Ovis aries: one gene and its partners. The protein of the gene in region 2 interacts with the protein of the main gene of each other region in a pairwise test. Links are inferred from orthologs where the notes say so. Each region holds a gene or a part of one and is shown on either strand. Other genes may lie near its edges.

Evidence for each region.
Region 1: the proteins of PSMA3 (region 2) and AURKB interact in a two-hybrid assay, tested with the Homo sapiens proteins (2 studies listed by BioGRID and IntAct). The link is inferred for Ovis aries from reciprocal best matches to the Homo sapiens genes PSMA3 and AURKB.
Region 3: the proteins of PSMA3 (region 2) and ZNF385C interact in a two-hybrid assay, tested with the Homo sapiens proteins (2 studies listed by BioGRID). The two-hybrid records come from large-scale screens. The link is inferred for Ovis aries from reciprocal best matches to the Homo sapiens genes PSMA3 and ZNF385C.

What each region holds. Positions count from the first base shown.
Region 1 is NC_056064.1:27,651,169-27,656,094, reverse strand, and holds the end of AURKB (aurora kinase B), read left to right. Parts: exon of another isoform or gene 1-338; coding exon 339-441; exon of another isoform or gene 442-551; coding exon 552-606; exon of another isoform or gene 607-817; coding exon 818-1,009; exon of another isoform or gene 1,010-1,303; coding exon 1,304-1,442; coding exon of another isoform or gene 1,443-1,452; exon of another isoform or gene 1,453-1,550; coding exon 1,551-1,699; exon of another isoform or gene 1,700-2,371; coding exon 2,372-2,546; exon of another isoform or gene 2,547-2,704; coding exon 2,705-2,878; 3' UTR 2,879-3,012; downstream 3,013-4,926. UniProt on the Homo sapiens protein: Serine/threonine-protein kinase component of the chromosomal passenger complex (CPC), a complex that acts as a key regulator of mitosis.
Region 2 is NC_056060.1:68,612,967-68,619,380, forward strand, and holds part of PSMA3 (proteasome subunit alpha type-3), read left to right. Parts: intron 1-2,556; coding exon 2,557-2,680; intron 2,681-5,479; coding exon 5,480-5,581; intron 5,582-5,656; coding exon 5,657-5,730; intron 5,731-6,414. UniProt on the Homo sapiens protein: Component of the 20S core proteasome complex involved in the proteolytic degradation of most intracellular proteins. This complex plays numerous essential roles within the cell by associating with different regulatory particles.
Region 3 is NC_056064.1:41,917,266-41,923,679, reverse strand, and holds part of ZNF385C (zinc finger protein 385C), read left to right. Parts: intron 1-85; coding exon of another isoform or gene 86-1,570; exon of another isoform or gene 1,571-2,842; intron 2,843-3,183; coding exon 3,184-3,332; intron 3,333-5,165; coding exon 5,166-5,276; intron 5,277-6,414. Other genes in the region: C11H17orf113 (uncharacterized protein C17orf113 homolog), read left to right, coding at 86-1,570.

The DNA.
Region 1 (4,926 bases), on a different chromosome or scaffold from region 2:
AGATTTGCTGAACACTCAAGGCCCCAAGGATCTTATCTGAGCCTTAACAGACCAAGCTTAGGGAACTGTGAGAATACCTCTGTTCTGAAGCTCCTTGAATTGTGGGTGTTCATTACCCCAGCCTCTACTGCCCTTTGGGGTAGGGGGCTAGGTAAATGAGTGGTGTTATGGACAAGACTGAGTAGCAAAATTGTGGCCTCATTGTTCCTCTTTGAACTGGGGATGGGGTGGGGTAGGTGGGTGGCTTTATAGCAAGCCCTGAAATGCTGCTTGTAGCGCATTCCAACCCGGTCACTGGGATAAAGGCACCCTCAGAGCTCCCCTCTGGTCCTTCTCAGGCTCAGCCTGGCCTGAACACCCTGCCCCAGAGAGTTCTCCGGAAGGAGGCTGTCATCCCATCGGCGCTTGTCCTCATGAGTCGCTCCAATGCCCAGCCCACAGGTAAACTAGCACAAAGGGAGGGGACTGACCTGAGGGAACTAGGGTCTGCAGAGGGTGGGTGGGGATGAAAATGTCAAAGGATGGCCTCAACTTCCCTGTTCTTTCCTTAGCTGCCCCTGGCCAGAAGGTGGTGGAGAACAGCAGTGGGACCCTCAACATCCCAAAGTAAGCTCCCCAAGCTTTGAGGTAGCAAGGGACGGGGTGGAATAAAGGCAGGAGGAGGAGGGATGCAGGTGAGAAAGCCTGATCCATCCTCAGCTCCCCTGGAAGAGAAGCAGGATTGCAGGCAGGAGGGGCAGAGGTCCAGAAAGAAGGCAAACACCTCAGAGGACCAACTAACCACTGCTCAGCTGCTCCACCACTGCTTCCCAAACAGGCGTTCCTTCACAATCGATGACTTTGAGATTGGGCGTCCTCTGGGCAAAGGCAAGTTTGGAAATGTGTACTTGGCTCGGGAGAAGAAAAGCCATTTCATCGTGGCACTCAAAGTCCTCTTCAAGTCTCAGATCGAGAAGGAGGGTGTGGAGCACCAGCTGCGTAGAGAGATCGAAATCCAAGCCCATCTCCAGTACGCTCAACGTCCCCTGAGCCAGAGCCCCTGCCGCCCCAACCCCACTCCTCCTCCAACCCCACCACATCTAGACTGTCTTCTCTGTAGCTGTGGCCACGCAGCCCCAATGAGCTCTCAATCCCAGCCAGAGCCTTGAATCCAGAAAATCACCTCCGGTCCCCAATTAGGACTGCCAACTGGCTTCCCCTACCTGGCCCAGACCTGACCCAGTTTGCCCCAATGCGACCTGTCATCTTTCCCATTTCCTTAGGCCAGAATGCAGCCTGATGCCTCCTCTGTCTCCTCTCCCAGACATCCCAACATCTTGCGTCTCTACAACTATTTCTATGACCGGCGAAGGATCTACTTGATTCTGGAGTATGCCCCCCAGGGGGAGCTCTACAAGGAGCTGCAGAAGAGCCGAACTTTTGATGAGCAGCGAACAGCCACGGTCGGGGCGGGTGGGCACCTGGGGCACTGGCAGGGGCCTGGAGGCTGGGGGATGCCATTTGCCGCCTGAGGTCAGTCCTCTTCTGACTGTCTGCCATTGGCCCCCCAGATCATGGAGGAGCTGGCAGATGCTCTGACGTACTGCCATGCAAAGAAGGTGATTCACAGAGACATCAAGCCAGAGAATCTGCTCTTGGGGCTCCGGGGTGAGCTGAAGATTGCTGACTTTGGCTGGTCGGTGCATGCCCCCTCCCTGAGGTATGGTGGGCCAGAAGGCCAGCCCTGGGTATGAAGCCATTCAAAATAAAACCACTTCAGATCTTGTTACCCAGAGACATTTTGGGTTGTTCTCATGTAAATATATAGACACAGCAATATCTTTACAAAAATAGGAGACTTTGGGAGTTCCCTGCTGGTCCAGTGGTTAGGACTCCAGCTTTCACTGCAGGGGGCCCAGGTTCAATCCCTGGTCGAGGGAACTAAGATCCTGCAAACCGTGCAGCGTGGCCAAAAACAAAAATAGGAGTCTCAGTTTTGTCACTCAGATTTCTCACTTGAAACAATGGGACCTTCTTGCCATATCACTGAGAATACTCCCACATCATTTTTAGTGGCTTCATAGTATTGCACAGTAGAAATGTAATGTGATTAAGCAACATGTGATTGATGAACATCTGAAATTCTTCCTATAATTCTAAGGTGAACGTTGCCCTCATATCTGATTTATTTTAAGGTACGGCCCTCAGTGTGGAAATGCAGAGTCAGTGTGCTAGCCCCACTCCTACCCCAAAGACCCCATCAGAGCCTGGTTGGAAGACCCCTGGCACATCCTGTGGTCGGTCTGGGCTCCCTGTCAGGCTGCAGGGAAAGGAGGGAAAGTCTGGATCTGAGATCCCTGCCCACTCCCCCTCTTCCCCCGCCCCACCCCAGGAGGAAGACAATGTGCGGCACTCTGGACTACCTGCCCCCAGAGATGATTGAGGGGCGCACGCACAATGAGAAGGTGGACCTGTGGTGCATCGGCGTGCTTTGCTACGAGCTGCTGGTGGGAAACCCGCCCTTCGAGAGTGCTTCCCACAATGAGACGTACCGGCGCATTGTCAAGGTGGGAGGCTGGCCCCCGGGGTCTGGCTGGAGTTTGTGCCAGCTCAGGGGCTGGGGCAGGGAGTGGGCACACTGTTGCTGTTGATGTTAAACCCTGCTAATAGAGTGGGAAGTGGAGGCAAAAGCAGCTAGGATGAAGCCTGTCTCTCCTTCTTGCAGGTGGACCTAAAGTTCCCTCCTTCTGTGCCCATGGGAGCCCAGGACCTCATCTCCAAGCTGCTCAAGCATAACCCCTCAGAACGCCTGCCGCTGGCCCAGGTCTCTGCCCACCCTTGGGTCCGAGCCCACTCTCGCAGGGTGCTGCCTCCCTCTGCCCCTCAGTCTGTCCCCTGAAATGTCCCTGTCCTTTTCTCAGTTGTGTCTGTGTCTGTATATGTGTAGCCAGGAGGAGGGGGGTCCCAAGTCTGTTTCTGCATCTGTCTTCTACCTCCTCTTTATTTAATAAAGGCTGAAGCTTTTTGTACTGATGAGTGTAGATGTTTACATGTGGAGACTGCTGTGAAGGAAGTCATCACCCATGGGGAGGAGGCGAGGGAGTTGCCCATGCTGGGCAGTGGGGTGGGCACTGCATCATCACCCCTGGGAACACCCCTCAGCACTGAGAGCAACCTCTCAGCTCTAACCTCATCTGGTCAGCTCCCAACCATCCTACTTCCACATCTTTCCTTTCCCCTGCTCTGGCTCCCAGGCCTGGGGATGCTGGGGACCTGGCTCTACTCTGCTATGCCTGCACATCAGCCATCACCAACCATCTCCACCCACCTTCTATTACTCCCTCTTAGTTGACCTCTAATCTTTCCCTTTCCTGGGTCAGTCTTGCTGACCTAGGAGCAATTAAAGTTGTCTTCTTGTTTTGTTTTTCTGCTCTGGTGAGGATTTAGCACAGGAGTAAATAGAAGCTGATGGTGTCTTGTTCCTGACCTATGGGAAACTTGTTCCCATAGTTTCACTGCTATGTATGATGCTTGCAATATGGTGCCTCCTATAGGTTTTGTTCTTTTGTTTTGGCCACCCAGAGCAGCATGCACGATCTTGAGTTTCCCTGACCAGGGACAAACCCATTCCCCTTGCAGTGGAAGCTTGGAGTCCTAACCACTGGACTGTCAGGGAAATCTCTTGCTATAAGTTCTTGATACATGTCTTTTATTAGGTTAAGGAAGGCCTGGGCTCTTCCTAGTTCATTAAGGGTTGGGTGTTTTTTGAAGCATGAATAGGTGTTGAGTTTCACCTAGTGCTTTTTCTGCATGTTTATTTTTTGTACTCTTAAGCCATGTGGTGTAGAACATCAATAAAGTTTCTTATTTTTATTTCATCTCAGATACTCGGGCTATATTCAATTCCTAGGGCTACTGTAACAAATTACCACAAACCTGGGTGGTTTTAAACAGCAGAAATGGATTCTCTGACAGTTCTGGAGGCCAGAAGTCCATGATCAAGGTGTCAGTAGCACCACCTTCCCATATATGCCTCTAGGGGAAAATCCTTCCTTGCCTTTTCCATCTTCATGTGACTCCAGGCACTTCATGGCTTGTGGCTACATCACTCCAAGCTCTGCTTCTGTCTTCACACAGCCTTCCTTTCTTTGCCTTTCTCTCCTCTGTCTTAAAAGAACACTAGCAATTTGATTTATGGCTCACCTAGATAATCCAGGATAATGTTATTCACAATCTGTAATTATATCTGCAAAGACCCTTTTTCCAAAAAACACTGCATTCATTGCTTCCAGAGGTTAAGACACTGACATATCTTTTAGGGGGCTACCATGCAACCCACTACATATGCGCACAGATTAAAATAATTGAAGGACAGTATAGGGCTTAAGAAAACGAAAAACCAACAGTCTTCCCATTTCTCTCTCCCCAGAGACAAATCCTTTTACAGTTTTGCTTTGTTTTTGGTATTTACTTTGTATCTCCAAATCACATGCTTCTGTCACTACCTCTTTACATTTTCAGTTTTAGGCTTTATCTATCATTTTCCTGATACAAAATGTAAGTATTTCATTCTTTCACTCCACTGCCACCAGAAACAAGGGCGTTTTCTGTCCCTACATCCTTCTGGTGTAGTTATAATTTTGGTTAAGATTTATTCATCTGACAATAGTTACTGAGTGCTCTCTGCAGCCCAGGTACTGTTCTAGAGGCTGAGGGGTGAATAAACGAGAAAAAAAAATCCTCAACTCAGGAAGCTTGCAAAAAGTGGTTGCAGTTGTAAACAGATTGTAAGGGGAGGCCTCACTAAAAAGATGTTTGAAAAACTACTTGAAGGAGGAAAAAGGTGAACATTTTTCTTTGTAGTTGTTCAGTCACTAAGTCATGTCTGACTCTTTGCAACCCCAGTAAAGAGTTTACCTGCAGCACACCAGGTTCCTCTGTCCTCCA
Region 2 (6,414 bases):
TAAGAACATATGAGAGGATACTTAAAACACTATTGAAAAAAACCTACATATGGTGATCATAACTATTTTATAAAAGGATGCCCCTAGAAGGTAATATGCAAGAGAAAAAAAGGAGTTAAATTATAATTTTTCAGTTTATCCTCATTGAGGGGACAAGATATGAAAGGAAGATTGTGCAACATAATTGTGAGGCTAGATTGTTTAGAACAAAAACGTACACAAAATTGTGGTCTTAGGACATCCTTATACTTGGAAAAAAATCATTAGAACCTTGATGAATATTTAATTAAGTAGGCTCTTAGGTTCTATAAGTATTTACCATAATGCTGACCCCAAAGAGCATTTATTTATGCAGGTTATTGGTTCATCTGTATTTACTATTAGAAATTAAAACAAAAAAATACTTCTAAATTTATTTAAATAACAGTAATAAAATTACATGTTAACAAAAATTATGTTAACATTTATTAAAATACTTAAGTAACAATAACATTTTTAATGAAAATTACTTTTCCAAAGCATGGGAAAAAAGTGTGGTGAGAAGAGTTACATTGTTTTACATTCTTGAAAATCTCAGTGATGAATTGAATCTTAATAAAGGGCAGAGTCTCATAGTTGCTGCTGCTTCAGTATGTTGTAACTTTTGTTGAAGTTTGTGCCACAAATCAGGCTTCATATACATACGTAGTTGGAAAAGAGAGGAGTCATTTAATAACCTTATGCATGTTGTTTATTAATACTGTACCGTACTGGACAAATTTTAGTATCGTAAAGGTTAGTTGTAGTGTGGAGTCTGAAAACATAATAATGAATTTTGTACTGTTATTAAGATCTATTGCACTGTTTTGTACTTTGCGTGTTTTATCTATGCACGATTTATAACATTGTGTGTTGGTCATTTGGAAAATATTGGTTCACTGAGTTATAACAGACCTTCCAAAGTAGACATATTTCATTATAAACTGTTAGAAACATCACATTTTTAAATATCACCACCAATATGTTTTCCAAAACTCCAGTTTGTGTTTGAAAACTCAGATTTTATCACTGGCAAGAATACTCTTTTGTTTTCCTTGAAGTGACAGGCTCGTTTTGTTCATTTTAGAGAAAAGTCTGCCACATACCTAAGTGTAAATAACCATAGTTATTATTCTTTGATGGTAAAAACAGATGTTCCATGAAAAAATTTACATTTGAAAGCAGTTTATTAGTGCTTTTTCCTATATGCAACCATCATATTTTGATGTGCAGCAGAAGAACTTGGCTAACTTGCTTTTTGTTAGGATAATAAAAAGATAGATACTTAAGGATTAATGTCTAATAAAATTAACTACAACTTTATCAGGGACATGCTTAACTAAAAATGTTTTTTTGAAAAAAATAACTGAGCGTAGCTATAAAGAATACAATGAGTGGTATTTACTGCTACCGTTTATTGTCAGCCAATACCATTGGTGCAAACATCCACACAATGAAGAAAGTCAAATGATGTTTCTGTATTTTTATAAAGATAATTTTGACCTGACAGACCACACTTTGAGAACTTTTGGTTTAGGGAAAAAGACATTTTAGATTCTGAAAAATGAGGAAGATGAGAAATTGTAATAACTGGGAAAGGCTGTCTGAGACTATTCAAGTAAACTTGAGAAAGTTTGTGGAAATTTATTTAAACGTGCTGCGGTGAGGAGGAAGTGTATTCTAGTACCCAGGATAACTTCAATAAAGACTTGAAAGCAAAAATGGTGTTTGAGGGACAACAATGAGGTTGAATTCAGTAGAGCACAGAATTTATAATATGAAATTGAATTAGCTAGATGGGTTTTGCAGATTCTTGGGAGTTAGGAAGTTTGGACCAAGGAATTTAAACTTGAAAAGGTACCTGAAGTGTGGGGGAAGGAGTGTCTGAAATTCTTTACAAAATTTGTGCATGTGGCTCAGTTCATTTTTCTGGTTGTTTCTGATAGATGCTCTTTGTTAAAAGAATTAGAAGATTTAAAATAATTGTTTTTTCTTAAAATGGCGGTGTATAATTTCTCCACATTTTACTTGTTTTTTTGATCAATTTTGTTTTAAACAGTTGAACAGAATGTTTATTCTTTTACACTTACTGTAAGCAACACATTGTTAATGCAGAAAAAGCAAAAGGAGGGGAAAGGATTATAATCTTTCCACCCAGATTAGAAACTGTTAACTTTTTAGTTTGTATGTAGCCTATCATTTGTGTGCATGTTATATACCATTTTTAATGGACATGGCTAGTCAGCATTTGTCATAAGACAGCCAGCATATGCTAGATACTGTGCCACTTGTTACACATTTTGTTAGCATCTTTTTCATTTGTGTATTATTGTCTTTCCATGTCATGACATGATTATTTGTATGGATCCAATTCATCACACTTTAGGATACTTGCCTTTTCTAGTTTTCAAATGTATTTGCTTTAAAAACTTGATATATTCTAAGAAACAAATTTGCCTGTTTTTTGTTTCTTTTAACTTGAGTTTACAAAGTTTGTTTTATTTTCAGTTAAATTGATTTTTTTTCTACTTGTTTCAGTACAGCTATTGGAATCAGATGTAAAGATGGCGTCGTCTTTGGGGTAGAAAAATTAGTCCTGTCTAAACTTTATGAAGAAGGTTCCAACAAACGACTTTTTAATGTTGATCGACATGTTGGAATGGTAAGGTCACATTTAAAAATGTTCCTTTTTGCTTTGTCCTGTTTCTTGTGATGTAATTAATTGGAATATATCAAAATGTAATTATAAGAACCTATTTATGACTTTAGCATTGAGGCAAAAACAGATCAGAGAGCAGCCATAGAAATAATCGGAAAGACTGGTTTGTGAACAGTTCACTGTCTAAAAGAAAGGTGCGTGCATGCATGCTCAGTTGCTCAGTCATGTCCAACTCTTTGTGACTCCATGGACTGTAGCCCACCAAGCTCCTCTGCCCATGGAATTTTCCAGGAAGAATACTGGTGGCATTCTTATAACCCAATTGGAGATACATAGGAAAAACCAAGTTGAAGCAAATGAGGAGGGGAGAGGAGTGAGAAGCTTGGGTAAAAAATCTTGGCAGCATAGATCGCCAATCAAGGCACATGCTTGAGAGGCAATAAGTCTTTAGTTTTTTGTGTCCTTTCTGGGGATAACTGTCACACTGAAGATGTTATCAGAAAGAGAATACCTTCATAGTAAGGTGGAGTATCAGGAAGGGATGTCTGACAAAAGGAAGAGTGAGTACATCCTTTTTAGTAGCTTCATAAGCATCACTATATTTATTTCATGCAGCTGGTATGACATAAATAGATTACTGGGATATACTGAAGTCATTCTGTATAAATATCAGACTTTCTTTAGTAGGTATAATAGTCCGGAAAAAAGAGAAAAGTGATTTTTAACCCTGCTTTCTGAAAAGTCAAGGAAGAAAAGTGAATACGTATTCTGTGTGCTAGGTACTATGCCAGAAGTTCTTTACATAAATTATCTCATGTAATCTTGACAAACCAGTGAAAGTAATATTAATCCCATTTTTACAGATGAGGAAACACTCAACTGGTAACGAAATGTGCTGGGATTCTTACTTGGGTCTCCATGGTCTGTGTGTTACTCTAGAGCCCATTCTTCAGGGTGAGATTCTGTAGGGTCCACTTATTCTGCTGAAGTATTGGTAGCTTCAGCTAGCTTTCAGCTTCTAAATAGCTTATTTAGAAATATGATTAGTATTTCTAAATAAGATGTGTTACACACAACACAGAAAGGACTAGCAAAATATAACCAGTAATCTATAAAGCTACAGATACATTTTTTTTCCTTCAGTTATTTTTCTGAATCTGTTTTCTCTCCTGAACAGATTTATTACTGCCAATGAAGCTGGTATGTTTTCCTGAAACTTGGCCAGATTGTAACCTAACTGATAGAAGGGAATTAGTGAATTCTGCTTTCTTTTACTTAGTAAAAAAGATAGCTTTCGGTAGGTGTATTTTGAAAAAAATCATATATGCTTATAGATAGTTCAGTGGTGGAAAGATTTTCCTAGAATTTTCAAATTTGTCCCATTTGTTATTAAAAACTGATGGCATTCCATGCAACTGGAAATTGGCAAAATATTAGACATTGAAGAAGGTTGGAGGAAAAAAGGATTGATAGTCTGTCTCCACAGTTGTCATCTTCAAGTGATTTGACAAATTACTAAACTTCACAGTGAGTTTTATCCAAAGCAATGGAAGATTATTTAAATCATGAAAATTACTACCTGGGTTACTCTAAACTCCAGTTCCCTCACCTGCAAAACTATGGTGGTAATAGTGCCTGTCCTCATGTGTAATTATGTAAAATGCTTAGCATGTCATGAGTGATCAATAATGGATTAAGGATTTTCATAATCATTACTATTACTAGGTAGCAGTAGAAGAAAAGGCTATTAAAATTTTTTTTATTAAAATTTTTGATAACATTTATTCTGAAAATCTTCTTATGTCAGTGGTTTCCAGTACCTGTAACTGTTTCAACATTTCTGTTTTCATGGCTTCCCTAGACCTAAAGAAATACCCAGTGGTTCTGTGTATTATATATGTAGGTCTAAATAACTGTTTATGTTCTAAAAACTTAGTAGCTATAAAAACAAAACCTCACCATATGACAGTAAAATAAAAATGTTTTTATTTTCAAACAACTACTACTACTAACGTGTACTGTTCAGTGTCTTAAAGTTTGGAATTGGATTAGATGGCTGTGCCCCACCCGACTCTGCTTCCTGTTTCACAGATTTTTGCACAGTGCTTATTTTCTATCACAGCAGCCCCAGCTTCTCAGTGATCCGATGGCATTGAAAGGAATGTGGAATGATCTGATGTTGAAACTGAACTACTTCAATATGTGTTTCCCCCAAAACTTACAGCACCCCACAACTCTGAGTTCACTGTAGTTCCCTGGGATATCTCAGTGTGTGGTTTGGTAATTGCAGCTGTAAGCCACTAGGTTTGTGGTCTGTCATGTTTTGGTTCGGCATTACAGTTCATTGGTACACTGAAAAAGAAAGGAGTTTTGAGGTTATGCCTTTTAAATCAAAACCTTTAATAACTTTTTAAACATAGAATGGCTTTAAATTAAAAACCAGTTGTAACCAAAACCCATGCATGGTTTTATTCTTCTTTGTGGTTGTTTTAGTCTTTATAATGAAGTGGGAAATAGGGAGACATGGAGTTTTTTTTAATGTGGTCATTTGACAAAAGAATGAAGTCACAGTTGGGAAATTTCCAAATTGATATCCCATACTCAAGCATCGAAGTTCCAGGATGCCTTGCAAAGATGGTGGTTTGGTCACTAATTTGTGTCTGATTCTTGCAAAGACCTTTAAGCCTAACTAATTGATTCTAATGATGATGCTTGTTAAAAATATCAAGTAAGCCTGTCACAGTCACGTGCTTTTCCTTCATTTGTGGTAGGAATGGTAATTGGTACTTTTTGTTTTTTCAGGCAGTAGCAGGTTTGTTGGCAGATGCTCGTTCTTTAGCAGACATTGCAAGAGAAGAGGCTTCCAACTTTAGATCTAACTTTGGATATAACATTCCACTAAAAGTAAGTTGGTAACGGTTGAGCCTCTGGAACAGCAAGAGAAGAGTCTTAATAAACTCTTCTGTTTTACCCCCACAGCATCTTGCAGACAGAGTGGCCATGTATGTACACGCGTATACACTCTACAGTGCTGTTAGACCTTTCGGCTGCAGGTATGAAATTTAGTGAGATATTCAGTGATATCTGTACTACAGTTATCTGTTTTCCCAGCATCTTATTAACCTTTTATACCCTTAAGAAATGAACTTTCATCAAGATGTACTTGAACTTTTTTTATTGTATCTATGTGACATGATGGATATTACCTAAACCTGTGGTAATCATTGCATTTCACAGTGTATATAAATCAAACCTTTATGCTGTGCACCTTAAATTTAATGTAGTGATGCATGTCAATTATTTATTAATAAAACTTGGGGGGGGTTCTCTGAAATTCGAATCAGACATTTTCAGGAAGTTGCAAACTGATTTTATTAAAATTTTTTAAAAAATTTTATTTTTGGGTCTTTGTTGTTGTGCAGGCTTTTCTCTAGTTGTGGAGAGCAGGGGCTGCTCTCTAGTTGTGATGCGTGGGCTTCTCACTGTGGTGGCTTCTCTTGTTGCCGAGCACAGGCTATAGGGTGCGTGGCCTTCAACAGCTGTGGCTCCTGGGCTCTAGAGCACAGGTCCCATAGTTGTGGTGCATGGGCTCAGTTGCTCCGCAGTATGTGAGATCTTCCCAGATAAGGGATCGAGCCTGTGTGTCCTGCACTGGTAGGCAGACTCTTCACCACTGAGCCACCAGGGAAGCCCCCCAAACTGATTTTAAATAGAGTTCATTTGTTGTTATTACGTAG
Region 3 (6,414 bases), on a different chromosome or scaffold from region 2:
TGCTCTTTCACCCCATCCCGTCTGCCTCCCCTTCTCAGGACAAGCCTAACCCTGTCCTCTCTTTTTCTCTCCCTGGCTGTCCCAGGTGGCTATCGCCAGTGTCTTGCACACAGAGGCCCGTCAGCGCCTGAAGGCATCCCCGTATGTGGGCCTGGTGTTGGATGAGACCAAGGACTGGCCTGAGTCCCACCGTCTGGCCTTGTTTGTCACTTCAGTGTCCCCCTGCGATGGCCAGCCTGCCACCACCTTTCTGGGCAGTGTGGAGCTACAGGAAGGCGAGGCCACCGCTGGCCAAGTCCTGGACATCCTGCAGGCTTTTGGCGTGTCTGCATCCAAGCTGGCCTGGCTCAGCTCAAGCCTCCCCAGTGACCGCCTGGGGAGGGTGCGCCCACAGCTCCAGGCCGCCTGCCCACTGCTCACGGAGTTACACTGCCTCCCTGGCCGGACAGACCCCAAGCCCCCTGCCTACCTAGGTGAATATGAAAGTGTACTGGATGCCCTATTCCGCCTGCACGGCGGCCCCAGTTCTCACGTGGTCCCTGAACTCAGGGCGGCACTGGACCTTGCAGCTATTGACTTGGCAGGACCACGGCCAGTGCCCTGGGCCTCCCTGCTGCCTGTGGTGGAAGCTGTGGCTGAGGCTTGGCCTTGCCTGGTGCTCACACTGGAGGCCTCTGCCCCAGCCTCGCCTACCACAAGGGCGCTGGCCCTCGCCCTGCGCCAGTTCACCTTCGTGGCCTTCACCCACCTCCTGCTGGATGTTCTGCCCTCCGTGCAGAAGCTGGCCCTTGTCCTGCAGCCAGAAGAGCCGGATTTGGCCTTGCTGCAGCCTCTGGTGATGGCAGCTACAGCCTCCCTCCACGCACAGTGCAGTTCAGGTGGGGCGCGCCTCCAGGGCTTCCTGCAGGAACTGGCATCCTCTAGCCCCGATTTGGGCTGTGGCCGCTGCACCTACCGCGGCGTGGAGCTGGTGGGCTACTCTGAGACTGCGGTCCAGGGCTTGGAGCGGCTGCGGGGAGCCTTCCTGGACTCCATGCGGAGGGGGCTGCGGGACTCTTACCCTGGGCCCTCGCTGGACGCCGTGGCCGCCTTCGCGGCCATCTTCGACCCCCGCCGCTACCCGCAGGCCCCCGAGGAGCTGGGCGCGCACGGGGAGGGGGCACTCCGCGTCCTGCTGCGCGCCTTCGCCCCCGCTGTGGTGCGCCAGAGGGCGCTGGGCGACTTCGCACTCTTCAAGCGCGTGGTGTGCAGCCTGGGGCGGCTGGGCCCGCGGGCCCTGTGCACCAAGCTGGCGTGCGCGCGCTCAGAACTGCACGAGCTCTTCCCCGACTTCGCCGCCCTGGCCGCACTGGCCTTGGCGCTGCCTGCAGGCGCCGGCCTCCTGGACAAGGTCGGCCGCAGCCGGGAGCTGCGGTGGTGGGGGCCGGGCGGGGCAGGGGAAGGACGGGGCGGCCCCGCGGTGAAGATCGCGGTAGATGGGCCGCCGCTGCACGAGTTTGACTTTGCGCTGGCGGTGGAGTTCCTAGAGAGCGGGTGGGGCGAGGGCCTCCTGGGCTCGCAGCTCACCTGAGAGCGGCCTCCTCTCCTCTGTCCAGCCAGTCTGGGGCCCTGGACTCACTAAGGGCCAAGCCAGACTTGACCTAGCAAGATTACCTCCTAACTGTGGCCTCCCACCCACCTTCCCCGGGCTTCCTCGGCTCCACGCTGAGTACTAACCCGGCTCAGTGGGATGTGGAAGAGGGGCTGGGTCGGGGGTGCTAGTGGGGGCCTGGGCCCGTGGGCAGAGGTGCTAGGGTTTCGGGCACCCTAAATGTCACTCCTGACCTTTCCGGTTCTGTGGGAAGTAGTTCACTCTGTTCCCTCGGAACTCCACTCAAATTTTCTCTCTGGAAAAGCTGAGGGGTCTTGGTTGGAAGGAGGAAGACAGAGCCTCCGCAGTTGAGGGGTTGAAGGCCAGGAGACTGGGTCCTTGACTGTTAGCCCTGCTCCTAGCAACATATCTTCTCTTCAGATATGACTGGGGGAAAAAATGACTGTCTTTATTTTTGACACAGCAGAGCACCCTCTCTGTGAAAAAGCTCAAGGGAAGTAAGAGGTGCCCTCTCCACCAACAGGCTGCCTGAGACTTTTCTGTACTTGGCTGTACGTAGACATCCGCTCCAGTATTCTTGCCTGGAAAATCCCACGGACAGAGGAGCCTGGGAGTCCATAGGGTGGCAAAGAGTCGGACTAGACTGAAGCAACTTCACATAGACATACATACGTATCAATGTGAAATAAATCTATCCTAGCCTCCCTGGTGTTAACACACAAAATCGAAAAGGACTTCTTTTGCTTTTGCAACAACAGGGTTCACAAAAGTCCCAAATGGGCTGAATTTATTTCCAATTTTTTTCTTCCTCAAAGTCTGGCTGTTCTCCAAGTTCCTAACCTTTCCCGATCCTTGCCTCAGATCTCTCTCTCTCTCTCTTTTTTTTTTTTTTTAGCAGTGCTGAGATTTTAGTTCCCTGACCAGGGATTGAACCCAGGCCCCTGCCTCAGACCTTTAAGACCAAAGACTGTATAAACCACAGTGCTGGACTGGTTGAACCCAAGGACCAGGCTCAGGCCTGACCCAGGGGTGTTGGAGGGCTTTTGTCTCCAGTGGAGAGCAGTTGGGCCTCATCGGAGTTGGGGAACACATCCCTTCAGATTCTGGGGGGTTTCCTATCCCCTCTGTCAGTCCTTGCTGTGAGTGTTGTGGGGGATCTGGAGGGGAGTAGTTAGTGAGAGGGGATGGGGCTGGCCTTTCCAAGTCTCCTAGGCTTGGGTTTAATTTGCAATAAAGTGGAAACCCAGTGCATCGTGCAGTCTCCATGGTGGTGTGTGTGTCAGGGGCCCACCCCGACTCCCCTCTGGGGTTCAGTGGGGCCATAATGCTGCCCCTGTGGGGGAGGTGGTCATCCTTCTGGGCTGGGAGCCTAGAACTGTGGGCCCTCTGCTTCCCCTTCCCCTGTGGTGCAGGGGAGAGGCGCAGAAATGGGCTGTAATCACCCTGGGTTTAGCCAGCGCTGCTTTGTGGAGATGGGAGTTTCCGCCCTGGCTCCACAGCCAAGAAGCCCATCAACCTCTTGTTCTGGCTGTGGAGGGAGGAGCGAGCCCTGTAACTCCCTGTTTCAGACCCTGCCCTTCTTCCTCCTGCAGGAGGCCCGGCCTCCGGAGCCCCCAGCCCGCTGCTGGCCTCCCTGGCCCTGCCCGCCAGGCCTCTGCAGCCCCCGCTGGACTTCAAGCACTTGCTCACCTTCCACTTCAATGGCGCCACCCCGCTCAGTCTCTTCCCCAACTTCAGCACGGTACGGGCTGGGTGGGCGGGTGGTGGGAGTGCAACCCAGCATGGGGGTGGGCTGGGAAGGTGGGCTCCCAGGGGCCGGCTCTTAGAAGCTGGGTCCAACCAGGAGCAACATCCCTCCGAGTGACCAGGTGCTCCCAAAATGGGGCCCAGCTCCTGCTTAGGCCAGAATATCCGGGATGCTACTGTCCTCTCCCCTAGCAACTGGTGCTGAGCCTGGAGGGCCTGTGAGCTGCAGGTTTCATCGAGTGTTCATAAAGGGGCACCTGTGGACGATCTGTGTATGTCTGCGTGCCTTTCTGTTTTAGTTTGTCTCTGTAGGACTTTGTGTGTATTTACGGGTGTGAGTTTGTGCACGTGTGCTTGTGAACGCTTTATGCCTGTGTAGCTGTCTGTATGTAGTGTATGTGCCTGGGTATCTGAGTTTTTGTGTGTCGACTGTGTATGTGTTTGGTGTGTGTCTGGCCTCTGCGTGTATGTTTTCATATGGTTTGGATGTGTGCCATTGGTGTGCAGGTGCGTGTGTATCTTTCTGCTTGTTTCTGTGATTTGTAACTACCTGTACGTTTATGTGCTGTGTGTCTGCCTACTAGTCTGTGTACTAGTATTTCCATGTATGTGTGTAAATCTGAAATTTACTTCACTATATGAGCTATAAGGTATACGACCCTTTTAAAAATTTTTTTGAAAAATCAAATGTAATCATTGATGAGCCTCCCCCCATCCTGACAATATGGTGGGAAGCTCTATCTAATCACCCTTGGAAGCCCCTTCCTTCTCACCCTCCAGGGTTGTTCAAAGATCCTAAGGAGCCCAAGACAACTTGGGGGGGGGGTCCTCTGGTTTGTAGTCCCCACTGTCACTTGCTGACATGCTCATTGTTCAGGCACATGGTCCCTACGAGGGGGTCAATCTGCTGTTGTTCTCATCACGGGGGGCCCTGCAGGCCATTCTCCCCTGAAATCCTGTCCCGTCCCGCCACCCACCCACCTCAGCCCCTGGCCCTGGGTGCTGTGAGGGTTAGAACCTCTTTCTGGTCTCAGGGAAGTTTCTGAAACCATGCTCTTCTCTCAAAGCCTGTGTTCTTCTCTCTCAGGAAGGTTTGGAAAGTTCTTCTTGACAAGTAAGCCCCCAACGACTTCTGCTTTTGACACAACAACCCAGCCTTTGAGAAAAGGGAACATAAAGACTTGGTTTGATAGAAGAAACAGAAATTATTTAAAACAAGGAAAAGAAAAAAAATACAAATTCATATTCCAGGGAAATGACCCTACTATTCAGGGAACCCTCTGGCTTCCATCTGCTAATCCTGCTCCCTGCCCCCAGCCTGGTCCCCCACTGCCCCTGGGCTGCGGCTCTCACTCTCAGGCCCTGTGACAGCGGCAAAGCTGATATGGTAAGCTTTCTCTCCCCCAGCCCACAGGCCCAGCACAAGGCTGGGTTATGGGGGAGGAAATTCCAAATTCCCTTCTCCGCTTCTCCCTGCCCTCAACTCTCTGCACACGTAGATGTGATTCTCATGAAGGAGGAAAAAAAGAGACTGGAAGGGCAGCAAGGGAAGCCAGTGTGATCACCAGGCCCTGGTTGTGTTTCTCAAGATCGCAAAAGTCACGTGGCCATCCCCCTGCCTCCAAGCACAAGCCTAGGCCGTCTAAGAGAGTCAGCCAGGGAAGAGGCTTTTCTTTTTCAGTGTTTAATATCCACAGACATAGGAAATTTCTTCCTATGGGCTGACCACTGCCCTCCTGCATAGACTTTAGTTTTGGGCATTTGGCACTGCCCTTTCACCTTACTTAGCTGACCCCACAGTTACTATGCCCTCCCACCCCCTCCACAGATGGACCCGGTCCAGAAAGCTGTCATCAGCCACACATTTGGGGTCCCCTCTCCCCTGAAGAAGAAGCTCTTCATTTCCTGTAACATCTGTCACCTGAGATTCAACTCAGCGGTGAGAGGGAGTTGTGGAAACAGGCTTGGGGGGCGCTGGGCAGGGAGCGGGCTGGACCCTTGGCTTCCAGGTCTTTCCTGCCTGGAGGAATAGGGGTGGCAAAGGGACTGTGGTCTGTATTTTCTGTCCTTCGTTGAGGAAGAGCCGCTCCTGGCCCTTTATCCATCCCATCCTTTCCTCTCTCCAGATTCCTGTGCCCCTTCCCAGCCCATCCCCCTGGGATTCTGTTTTCCTCCCCCTGTGCCTTGCTCCTATGTTCTGGAACCTTCTGATGAGAGCAGGCTGCCCTTCCCTACTCTGGGTCCCAGGGGCCACCATCGGTTCTGGTTTGGGGCTGAGTTCTTAACACGCCTGAGAGTTTACAGAATCTGTTTGTGTCTATCCTCTTAATTAGTTCTCATGATGCATCTGTGAGATGGTTCAAGGTCCCATCCTCAGTCTCATTTCTCAGATGAGGAAACTGAGCTTCAGAGAGGTTAAGTGACTTGCCTGAGGTCATACAACTGGTAATTAGCAGAGCTGGGATTTGAACCCAGGCCTGGCTGACCCCATAGTCCACATACTTCCTAGCAGGGCCTGCCCCTAGAGAGTGGCCTCCAAGGGAATGTTTGCCTTCTGTCCAGACAACTTCTGCAGTTTGGGGAGATGCTGTTGGCAGACCTGCTCTTGTGAAAGCGCCTAAGGAGGGGCCACAGGGCCTTCTTTCCTACTTTGGGGAGCAATAAGCAGGAATCCCTAGTGGATAGGCCAGGTTTGCGAGTTCCTTCCAGGCTTTCAGGTTACATGGGTCATGCAAGTGATGGACGGAGAGACTCACTCTGATAAAGAAACCATGTATTTTTCATGCCAGGCCCAACACAGTGCCTGGCAAATAGCAAATGCTCAGGAACTATTTGTTAAAAAACACGTACAGAAGGATGAATGATCTGGAGTGTATGTTCCTTAAAGCATGGGGACTGCTCTGTTTTCCCACTCATGCATTTATAAACCTAGTAACTGACACTCACTGAGCACTTATTCTCTGTACTAGGCCCTTGTCATTCATCCCTGAGTCAGGAAGATCCCCTGGAGAAGGGAATGGCAACCCACTCCAATATTCTTGCCTGGAGAATCCCACGGACAGAGAAGCCTGGCAGGG